Linked DNA regions of Macaca mulatta. The protein of the gene in region 2 interacts with the protein of the main gene of each other region in a pairwise test. Links are inferred from orthologs where the notes say so. Each region holds a gene or a part of one and is shown on either strand. Other genes may lie near its edges. The genes, in order: E2F1, NDN and APBB1IP.

Evidence for each region.
Region 1: the proteins of NDN (region 2) and E2F1 interact in a two-hybrid assay, tested with the Homo sapiens proteins (2 studies listed by BioGRID). The link is inferred for Macaca mulatta from reciprocal best matches to the Homo sapiens genes NDN and E2F1.
Region 3: the proteins of NDN (region 2) and APBB1IP interact in a two-hybrid assay, tested with the Homo sapiens proteins (2 studies listed by BioGRID and IntAct). The link is inferred for Macaca mulatta from reciprocal best matches to the Homo sapiens genes NDN and APBB1IP.

Annotation. Positions count from the first base shown.
Region 1 is NC_133415.1:86,457,614-86,461,340, forward strand, and holds the start of E2F1 (transcription factor E2F1), read right to left. Parts: upstream 2,859-3,727; 5' UTR 2,485-2,858; coding exon 2,224-2,484; intron 1-2,223. UniProt on the Homo sapiens protein: Transcription activator that binds DNA cooperatively with DP proteins through the E2 recognition site, 5'-TTTC[CG]CGC-3' found in the promoter region of a number of genes whose products are involved in cell cycle regulation or in DNA replication.
Region 2 is NC_133412.1:6,264,435-6,268,184, reverse strand, and holds NDN (necdin), read right to left. Parts: upstream 2,385-3,750; 5' UTR 2,271-2,384; coding exon 1,305-2,270; 3' UTR 464-1,304; downstream 1-463. UniProt on the Homo sapiens protein: Growth suppressor that facilitates the entry of the cell into cell cycle arrest.
Region 3 is NC_133414.1:27,928,268-27,931,917, reverse strand, and holds part of APBB1IP (amyloid beta A4 precursor protein-binding family B member 1-interacting protein), read right to left. Parts: intron 633-3,650; coding exon 340-632; intron 1-339. UniProt on the Homo sapiens protein: Appears to function in the signal transduction from Ras activation to actin cytoskeletal remodeling. Suppresses insulin-induced promoter activities through AP1 and SRE. Mediates Rap1-induced adhesion.

The DNA.
Region 1 (3,727 bases), on a different chromosome or scaffold from region 2:
CCGAAAAAAAAAAAAAAAAAGTTAAGTTTTCCATAGTAAACACGTATTATAGTTATAATACTTGAGTTTGTGGAAGTGGACAGGCAGGGCCAAGAGGAATGGCCAAATCGCACAGAGCGTTATATACAGGTGTTCAACGAATGCCTGCTAGTATAGAAGCTAAGCCTGTAGCTTATTTCAAGGACTGCCCCAGACAAATGCCAGTGCAGAGAGGCCAAAAGCCGAACCTGTGGACTTTCTGGACTTCAGCTCCAGAATGGTGCTAGCCTCCTGGCCCTTACGTATTCTGGGAGCCGGGGCTCCTTGTCTCTGTGCCTAGTGCCTCCTGGGCATTCACTAATTCAACAACCGTTGAATGAATGCAGTGCCCAAGCCAATGAGCCTGCCCCTGACAGGTGGCGCGGAGGGCATTTTTCTTTGCCCCTGTCCCTCCCTTTGATCCTAGAACCCATAATCCTGTTCAGTTACTTGAGGACAAGACCCTCGGGTTCTGTTAGGTTTCTGCAGACCTGAGCCTGCTATATGCTTGTCACACAACTGAATGGAAGATGCTTGCCCAGGTCCCAAGCGGTACCCACAGGGACAGGTCCCTGGAGTACAGGAGACAGGCCACCTGGTCCACCCCTGGTACAAACCCCTCCCACCCACTCATTAAGAGGAAGGGCCCCTAAAAGCCCTTCCTGCCCTTTCTCCAACCTCTATCAGCATCTCTAGGAAGCAAGGCGTCCCAGAGGTCAACCTCACAGAAAATGCAGACTGGTCTCCCCACTCAAGAGCAGAATGACATGGGAAGATTCTAACATCTCTAGGCCTCAGCTTCCCAATCTGTAAAAAGGGACTGCTGCTGATAGGGTTAAATGAGTTAATTAGGTAAAGTGCTTGGCACAGAGCCTGGCACACAAGACATCCTCAAAACAATGGTGGCTGCTATTGTTATTATTATTAGCATTGTGGTGATTCCGGAAGGCAGCATTGGGCATGGGGCCAAGGGGGTTGGGGGAGCCTCCTCAGGATGCCTCAGGGACCAGCTGCCACCCACACCCCCATCAGCAGTTAGGCAGCTTCTACCTCCTTGTCCTGAGTCCTGCCTCACCCCTCCCACTTGCTTCAAGCTCCCTGCTGAGACCCCATCCAGCCTGGCCAGGCCCCGCCTGCACACCAGAGCCCCACCTTCACCCATAGGCTGCGCCAGTCAAACTGGTCTCCACACCCTGCCCTGCGCCCCACAGGTCCCAGCTCTACACCTCCAATCCCTTCTCCCACTGTAATTCAGCCGCCTCTTCTGGGCCCCCCAGTCTGAACAGGTCTTGAGCTCAGCGATCAGGGAGGACTTTATTAAAGGATCTCCCTGGGACATTTTCTCTCCTGGCACTGGGGGCCTCTCCAGCTCCCAGAGGCCCAGCCCACCTAGTCCTTCTACAGAGACTCAGGGGTCGGCCTGCCTGATTAATGAGGTTCCATGGCAACCAGGGCCTGGGAGGGTGGAGGGTGGCAGATGGAAGGACAGGCAGAGGGAGGGGACCTGCAGCTGGTCCAGCTGCCCCGCCCCTGCAGAGAAGGCCTCCCAGCCAGGAGGGCTGTCCCCAGAGGCCTGGCCAGCCAGGCCTGCACCTGGCAGTCAGCATCGAGGCAGAAGGAGGGTCTCCTCAATGGCTCACCAACGGTTAGGCCCCAGGACCTTCCTCCGCCCCGCCTTCACTTCCCCTAGCAGCTGTGCTCACTACCGAGATGCAAATTCTGAGCTGAAGCCAGCAGGCCTCAGTTCAAATCCCAGCCCCACCACCTGCAGCCGTATGACCAGGGGCAAGTCACTTCCCCTCTCTGGGCCTCAGTTCTTCCTCCGTCAGATGGGCACAGTGACAACACAGCTCACAGCGGGGTTGTGAGTTTTAGCTGACTTGAAGTCGGCCGAAGGCCTGGCATGCAGTAAACGCCAGTTGAATACACGTGGGTTATTATTATCACTGAGTCTGACGCTGCGGAGCCTCCAGTGAGGAAGCTGAGGCCCAGAGCACAGAGGAGCAAACAGGGACCGGCCCGAGGTCACCCCGCACCCCAGGGCGGGGCCCGCAGGCCCAACCCCGGCTCTGCACCGCCCAGCCTGGGCGCCTCAGTCAACCCCTCCCCCGCCCCCTGCCGCCTTCAGGCCAAACACGGCGCCCTCCCGGGTCTGCGCGGGGGGCACAGGAGGCGCTGTCGGCGCGTCGTCCCTGGGGTCCGTACCGGCGGGCGGCCGAGCGCGGGGCGCGGCGCACTGGGTGTGGGCCGGGGCGCCTGCGGTGTGGCGAAGAGCAGCAGGTCAGGGTCGCAGGGGCCGGCGGCTGGCGCCGCGGGGCCGGTGGGAGCCGGCGGGGCGCTGGCGTCCTGCGCGGCAGAGATGATGACGATCTGCGAGGAGTCGAGCAGCCGCAGCGCGCCGGCCCCGAGCAGGGCCTCCAGCGCCGGCGCGCATGGGCCGCCCGCAGGGGCCCCGGCCAAGGCCATGACGCTCACGGCCCGCGCGGCCCAGGTGACAGGCGGCGGCGGCGGCGCGGGCCCATGGCGGCAGGCCCCGGCGAGGGCTCGATCCCGCTCCGCCCCCGGCCGCCGCTGCCTGCAAAGTCCCGGCCACTTTTACGCGCCAAATCCTTTTTGCCGCGAAAGAGCCACGAGCCGCCGAGCGCCGCCACAATTGGCTGCCCGGGCCGTGACGAGAACGACGGCGGCGGCTCCTATTGGCTTTAGCGCGCCGGACCCGGCGGCGAGGGGCGGGATGGGGCGGCGGCGCGGGGCGGTACGGCCAATGACGGGGCGGGGCGCGCGCAGGCTTTGTCCGGATGGTGCCAGGCGCGGTCTGACTCTCCGCCCCCAGCCCGGGCGTCCCCTGTTGGAGGCGTGGGGACACGGGAACACGGGCCCCGCCCTGCCCCGCCCCGATGCTCCCGCATCCCACTGCCCTTTCTATAGTGCAGGTTCAGAACAGAGCCTCTGTTCTGCACGTGACCCTCAACCTGTAGCCTTCCACAGCCTCAGCTTAGATTTCCAGAGACTGCCCCCTCTTTTTTTCGGGATCATCAGTTCCACAGCCCAGCCATCAGCCACCTCTTCCATCCTCAACTTGCCTCACCCATGACATTATCCTAATCCTGCACCCGGCCCTATCCCGCTCACCCAGAGCCCAAGCTGAAGAGCGGTGGCTAGAAATGGCGGGGGGACGTCAAGCTTTCCTGCAAGTCCCATTTTAGCCAAAATCTCCAACAGCCAACGTAAAGCGTCGGCCTGAACTCATTCATTCCCTCACTCATTCAACAAACGTTTGAAGAGCCTGCTCTGTGCCTCATCCTTAAATCTGCCCCATCCTTAACTCGTGGCCCTGAGGAGCTCACAGTCTAGTAGACGGGAACAGAAAGGTAACAAACGTTTACAATAACATGAAGCGTCGTCTGGGCGCGGTGGTTCACGCCTGGAATCCCTGTAATCAGAGGGCGGGGTGGATCGCTTGAGTCCAGGAGTTTGAGACCAGCCTGAGCAACATGGTGAAAACCCGTCTCTACAAAAAATACAAAAATTAGCCAGGCATGGTGGCGCGTGCCTGTAGTCCCAGCTACTTGGGAGGCTGAGCTGGGAGGATTGCTTGAGCCCGAGAAGTCGAGTCTGCAGTGAGCTATGATCATGCTACTGCACTCCAGCTTGGGTGACAGAGCGAGATCCTGTCGCAAAAACAAAACACATCACTTCTGGGGAGCCC
Region 2 (3,750 bases):
TTAATTTGCAGAATCAGAATGATATTGCTTTCTCCAAAATATCCTAAGAATTAGAAAAATAAAATTCCTAGCCTTTTTGTATGTGTGGCCCATGAACCCATGTGAGTGTGGGCTCCCACATGAAATTTCAATATAAAGTTAAAAATAAATAACCTAAAAACCACAGGGTGTAGGGGAGTTGAAGGCAGGTGGGGACAAATGTGGACTCTGGATTCATTGTGAGTTCTAGTCCTAGCGCCTTCTCTTATTAACCTGTATGAGCTATGGAAAGTCCATTACCTACATTATTCCTGTGTTTCCTCCATGGTGCAGAGGCAGTTCTTGCCTGCCTGACAGGCCTGTTGTGAGGATTAGATAAAAGGAGAAAAATACACGTCAGGGCTCATGTACAATGTCTCACTCTTTAAGTGCCCACAAAGCATCTATTAATTTTGATAAAATGTAGAAACTTAAGGGAAGGAAATTATTTTTGGTTTTTATTCCCATAGGATGTGATTATGGACAATCTTACTGTTTTGTTTTTTATGCTTTTCTATATTTGTGCATGTTTTTGAAATAAACATGAGTTAAAGACAAAACTACAAACTTCACAAATTTAGGAGTAATCATGAGTAGCGATTTTTCCCACCCCATTAGGGGAAATAGTTATATCTGTGTATACTGTAAAACAGAGAATTGTCTCATTCCCAACCATACTGCTTTGTTAAAATGATAACGTACACTTCCAGAAATGATTGTATCACAAGAATCTTTAATGTTTACTTTAAAGTTGACTCACGGTGGGGTTGTATATGTGTTTAGTAAAGTGTGCCAAGTGCTCTCACATTGAGACCAGTCCAGTTCAAATTAGTTTACTCCACGAGGATGTTTTCAGTCCCCAGCAAGGTCATGAGGGCCTTGACATTTCTTGGTTAGGCCGGCTTTGCTGGTGAGTTTTTCCAAACTCTGCAGGAGCAGTCTACCCCAACACACATCTCAGTCCCATGTAAATTAATAAGATGGAAACGTTCTCAATGTACTTCATCAGTTTAGCACGTCTCTGATACAAAAATCCAAGAAAGGTACCACAAAAGCGAAAGCACCAACCAAGCTTACATATAAACAAACATGCATACATCCTAAATACTACACAATAGTACCCAAATGAACACAACATTGCATTAAAGGTATAAAAGCACTGTACTGAAAACGTAAAAGTTACACGTGAATACTGCACTGTAAATCCTGAACACTCTAATGACCCACCCCCACCCTTCCACAGCCCTGGTGAGGATCAGAAAGCATTCATCTGCCTCCAGACTTGGCTAGTCCTCGGAGACACTGCTGCGAGGGCAGTGGGCAGCGGGATTAGCCTCCCGCAGAGCTCTGGCCTCCTCCAGAGCCTCTCTGTATCGGGAGGGCCAGGCCTGGGGGTCTTTCTTAAAGACCCTGGCCAGGAACTCCATGATTTGCAGCTTGGTGATTTCGCGGCTGGCCCGGGAGCCCCAGAAGAACTCGTACTCGGGCGGCTCCACGTACGGGACGCGCTGGTACTTCAGGTAATTCTGCTGGACGAACTCCTCAGTGATGAGCTTCCGCACGTCCCCGAAGGTGGAGTGCTTCTTCCAGGGCCGCAGCCCCAGGATGCGGAGCACGTTCCAGACCGCGCTCTCTCTGGCGCCGCGGCCCTTCACGTAGATGAGGCTCAGGATCATGAGGAGGAGACCTGTCATGGGCATGCGGTTGCTCAGCGCCACCCTGTCCAGCTCCTCGGGCTCCAGCGCTTTGACCAGCGCAAACTCCATGGTGTGCAGGCTGGTTAGCCTCAGGTGCAGCCCGAACACCCGGGCGAGGATGAGGCTGGTGCGCCGGAGGATGCTCCTGCACCACTTCTTGTAGCTGCCGATGACATCTTTCACCATGTCTGGAAACCAGATGATCATCTTCTTCTGGTCCTTGACCAGCACGTACCACATGAGCTCGTGCGCCTTCTGCACCAGCTGCGCCGGGGCTGGCGGGGCCGGGCCGGGCTGGGCCGCGCTCGGGGCCTGGTGGGCGCGGCCCTCCTCCGCGGCCTGCTGCAGGGCCTTCGGGTCGTCCTCGTCGCTCGGGGCCTGGGGAGGCTGCGCGGCCTGCGGGGCGGCCGTCGGGCCTAAAGGAGGGCTCTGCGGCTCTGCCAGGGTCTCGGACGGAGGAACCCCCTCCGGAACCCCAGGGCTGCTGTGCACCTCGGAGCTGGGGGCCTCGGCTGCAAAGTTAGGGTCGCTTAGATCCTTACTTTGTTCTGACATATCTGCGCCGTCTGGCAAGGGCAGGGCCTCTGCGTCCAGGAGCTCTTCAAGCCTGCGCTCCCTCCGCGGATTCCTGGAGAGGAAGTGCGCGTTGCTGTGCGCGGCGCCTTCCGCAGCGGCGGGCAGGGCGGGGCGGCGGCGGGACGCGGCACTGCGCCTGCGCGACTGCGGCCTTGGCCAGCGGCTGGGGGCGGGCGGGGCAGCGCGGAGCCCCGACGGGGAGGGTCCCTGGCTAAGCTTCACCTGCGGAGAGAGCGATCCCGGGGTTTCCCGTTTGGGCTGAGGGGATCTAGGGCAGGAGAAGAGTGCGATGGATGCGTACTGGAGAAGGGGCCAGTTTAGGAGAAAGATGATAACTTAAGTTTTTGGGATGTTGGGGTCAAGTTTCTTGGGAAACGCTTACCTGATATATCCAGAATTAAGTTAAATATGAGCGTCCCAGAGAAAGGTCTGGGCGGCTGTGTAAACTTGAGCTTTATGCGAACGAGTGAGAGGAACAGTCGGGCTTGTCCAAGAAAATGTGTAAAGTGTATGTCTGAAGTTGGAATCCTGAGAAATTCCAATAAAAAAATGATTGACTCCCTCCCTACCAAATCAGAGGGGTTGTAAGAAAAGGAGAAATGCAGCGTGTCCTTAACGTAATTTCCTGTCAACCCATGTGAACTATGAACCTTTTAAGTAGGCAGCGGACTTAGAGCATCATTAATGCTTTAGTGGGCATAAATTTGAGTTTTACATTTCCTTTGGGTCACTTTGATTCCATTTTATTTTTTTCCATACTTAGTCCACAGCAGAAGGATTGCTATATCTTTTAGCACAAACTTGTATAATAATGTCTTTTTCCCTCTGCCCAGCACCCTTATTCTCCGATTCACCTTCTCCCAGGACCCTCTCTGAAGCTACTGAGTCCTCCACGTTGGAAGCCACACCCAAGTCCTTCCTGAGATTTAAAAAAAAACAACTAGGTCTCATAGGTAATATCTGGTAGTGTCTCTGAGATGACCCAAGGGTAGCAGGGGCAACATGGGTAACCCTGTTTTCTAAGTATAGAAGACAGATTCCCACTGGGCAAAGACAAAACTCGCTCCTACAGGGTCTCCCTGAAAAAAGGGTCATTGGTGGAGCCTCTGAAACCAAGGGCCTTGATGCTGCTTCAGCATCCTTGGTCTGGGCTGATGTGGTCCTTCAGCGCTTCCAGCGTTTCTTCTCATCAGTAGCTTCTTAAATATGTTGAGTCTAATTATTGCCACTCGAAGCCAAAAGCACATTTAAAAATTGTCTTAACATGTCTAGAGTCCTCGCTGTGAGTATGTATCTTTTCCCACTTGTCACTTTATTTTTCCTCAAGCAGGTTGATGTTGAAGGGTTTTCTGTGCTCTCTCTCTTTGGGTTTGCATGCACATAACACTTTTGGCAGAGCCATTCCCACACCAGTCCTTCCAACAGGCTCTTTAGCTTCCCACTTCACCAGGGTAATTCC
Region 3 (3,650 bases), on a different chromosome or scaffold from region 2:
AGGGACATGGAAATATACAATCAGTTCCACATTTCAATATGATATTAATAAAACATGTCCCCAAAAGACTGAGTTTTATCAAAGAGTGTTTGCATACAAATATTTTTTAAGCAAACTATAGTAAATCCTGAATATGACCCTAATACATTCTTGATATACACCCATGTGGCTTGTTTACGCAGTGTTCTAGCTTTGCAACGAGCATGCTCTGTATCTTGGTTTTTTAGTATGTCAGATCTTTGGATGCACAAACTTTGGAATGTAATGATCACTTCAGAGAACATCAGTGATAGGTAGCAGAGGCTGATGGCCCTGCCGACTCTGGTCCCACGCACTTACCTGAGAGAGAGGTTCAGGAGGTGGTGGCGGCAGTGGAAGGTCTAACACAGGATCAGCTGGTGGAGGTGGTAAGTCATCCTCATATTGGCTGATACCAGTGGCAGCAACATTTGTTCCATGACCAAGAGGGGCTGCACCACTAAAATTTGATGCCTGTAGAGATGCTGAATGATATTGATTCTGCGAGGACTCTTTCTGTGCCTGGATTGTCCTCTGCTCAGCTTCACTGATGTCTGCTACCAGATCTGCCATGAGAGCCTCTAAGTCTTGGTCTTCCAGTGCATTTAAGGACTCTAGTAGGGAAAATCACATTAATGGTATAAAAAACTACTTGCATCTGGAAAAACAGAAAGAAGATAATTTTTAAGCATAATATTTGAGTAGAAAGGAATCCTTATTTTGATTGGTTATGATATAATGAGAAGATTGAGAATATTTTAATTCAATAGCACAAGTATAGGAATTCCTAAAGGACTGTTGCTGCATTTGTTGCATGGTTAATCCGAGTGAGCTTCTAATACCAAGAAAATAAATGGAGGAAATGTGTTCTCTACACTGGGGCACCTGACACACCAGCTATAAAGTCAAATCCAAGCCCACGAATAGATGCTTAAGTAGGAAATCCTTGCATATTATAGTGTAAGATCTCAGAGTTTTAGAAAAGTAGGGGAGGGGAGAGCATTGGAAATGGATGGAAGGGGAGTTTTCCCTAAGCATTTGGAGGGCAAATAGAGTACTGCTGCTATTTAGAAGAAACTGGATTTCAAGCAACTGGGGTTTAATGTGCCTGTTACTTTGGGGTGAAGATGGAGCTTCTATAGGCTCACCACCTAACTGTAGAAAACTTCACATTCGGAGAAAGAGCAATTTTTTAAAAATTTTTATTTATTTATTTATTTGGGACAGAGTCTCACTCTATTGCCCAGGCCGGAGTGCCATAGTGTGATCTCGGTTCACTGCAATCTCTGCCTCCCAGGCTCAAGCGATCTTCCCAATTCAGCCTCCCAAGCAGCTGGGATTACAGGTGCATGTCACCAGGTCCAGCTAATTTTTGTATTTTGTGTAGAGACAGGGTTTCGCCATGTTGCCCAGACTGGTCTCAAACTCCTGGGCTAAAGCCATCTTCCCACCTCAGCCTCCCAAAGTGCTGGGATTACAGGCAAGAGCCACTGTGCCCAGCCAAGAGCAATTAATGATAAATAGCAGAAATTAAAGCACCATAGGTGGCAAGGAATTAAAAAATTATGGGATTAAATGGTAGAAACTTAATGAAGATAGTAAGCTGGGAGTTAACTTTTAAAAGACAGGAAAGACAAAAATTTTCAGAGTGAGAGGGAGGGAGGGGAGATCACCTTAGGATTTCTTCCATGTGTGGGATTACTATGGTAATCTGTGTGATCCTGAACATTGATTAGATCATGTGGTGTAGTGGAGGTGGTGTCAGTGAGTAGTCCTGGTGGAGTACTTTGATGATCAGGCATATATGATATGGTGAATATAATGAACAAAGGATGGGCAGGAAGGAAGTGATCCATGAGGAGAATTCTAGCTGCTATAGGTATGATGAACCAGACTGAGGAAATGGGAGCAGCCGGAATGAAGCCTATTCAGTAACAAATAAGCTTTGTGAAAGGATACATTGTCAGACATCATCATCATAAACGCCACACAGCATATTACAGTAATGCTAGTAGTGCTAGTTTACAGTACTGGGACTAAAGTTTGGTGTTCCTCAATGTGTTAAAAGAGTTTATTTTGGCCGGGCGCGGTGGCTCAAGCCTGTAATCCCAGCACTTTGGGAGGCCGAGACGGGCGGACCACGAGGTCAGGAGATTGAGACCATCCTGGCTAACACGGTGAAACCCCGTCTCTACTAAAAATACAAAAAAAAAAAAAAAAAAAAATACAAAAAAAAGAGTTTATTTTACTGTAAATCACTTTTATATACAACTTCTTTTTTTTTTTTTTTTGAGACAGAGTCTCGCTTTGTCACCCAGGCTGGAGTGCAGTGGCATGATCTCAGCTCATTGCAACCTCTGCCTCTTGGGTTCAAGCAATTCTCCTGCCTCAGCCTCCCGAGCAGCTGGGATTACAGGTGTGCACCACCTTGCCTCGATAATTTTTGTATTTTTAGTAGAGACAGGGTTTTGCCATGTTGACCAGGCTGGTCTCGAACTCCTGGCCTCAAGTGATCCCCTTGCCTCAGCCTCCTGAAGTGCTAAGATTACAGGTGAGAGCTATCAGGCCCAGCTTATATATAATTTCTTTATAAAATCAAGTTAAATTAATTTAAAATGTTTTCAGAGAAAATATATATAGAACTAAAGAAGCATATTTATAATTTTCTAATGTAATCAATCACATTGTGACTGTTGACATATAAACCTTTACTCTATTATAAAAATTTTGGGGACAAAACCTCCATAATAATATTTATATTAGTAATTTCCAAAGCAAATTTAATAAATTGAATTATTATATTAGTTATTAATAGATTTTTAATATATTAAAGATTTCTAAATTTATCAATAGAGATGAAATGTTTTAATAAAGATTAGCTAAATTTGTGAATATAGAATTGAGTAATATGGAATTGGGGAATGGGATAGAAATAGATTTTATTCTGAAATTAGTCACTGACTCTCTGAATGACTTTGGGCAATTATTTTTTTTTTTAAACAGGCTTTTGTTCTGTTGCCCAGGCTGCAGTGCAGTGGTAGGATCATAGCTCACTGTAGCCTCGACCTCATGGGTTCAAGCAATCCTCCCATCTCAGCCTCCCAAGTAGCTGGGACTACAGGCACATACGAGCATGCCTGGCTAATTTTTAAATTTTTTTAGAGACAGTCGTCTCACTATGTTGCCCAGACTTGTCTCAAACTCCTGGGATTAAGTGATCCTCCTGTGTTGGCCTCCCAAAGTGATGGAATTACAAGCATGATTACAGGCTCGCACCCAGCCTGGGCAAAATATTTTGAACTCATTTTAGCAGTGTTTTAAAGTGAAGACAAAACAAATCTATTCTTAATCTAATTCCATACAAATTTAATTTTCCATACATAGCAGTAGTTTTTAATTGTCTTGTCCCGTATCCAAATTAGACCACATGTGTACATCTTGTTTCCTTAATGAGAATAGTGTCTTATTACTGTGATGTAACATCACTGTGTTTATATCTTGCTGGGTGTCTGGGTATCATTGCTCCTATCATTGTCAGTGTTGTGATACCAGGCACTGAGTTAGTGCTTAGAAAGCGTCAGTTGAGATGACTACAATTAAACTGAAATATTGATTAAATTTTAATTTTAATT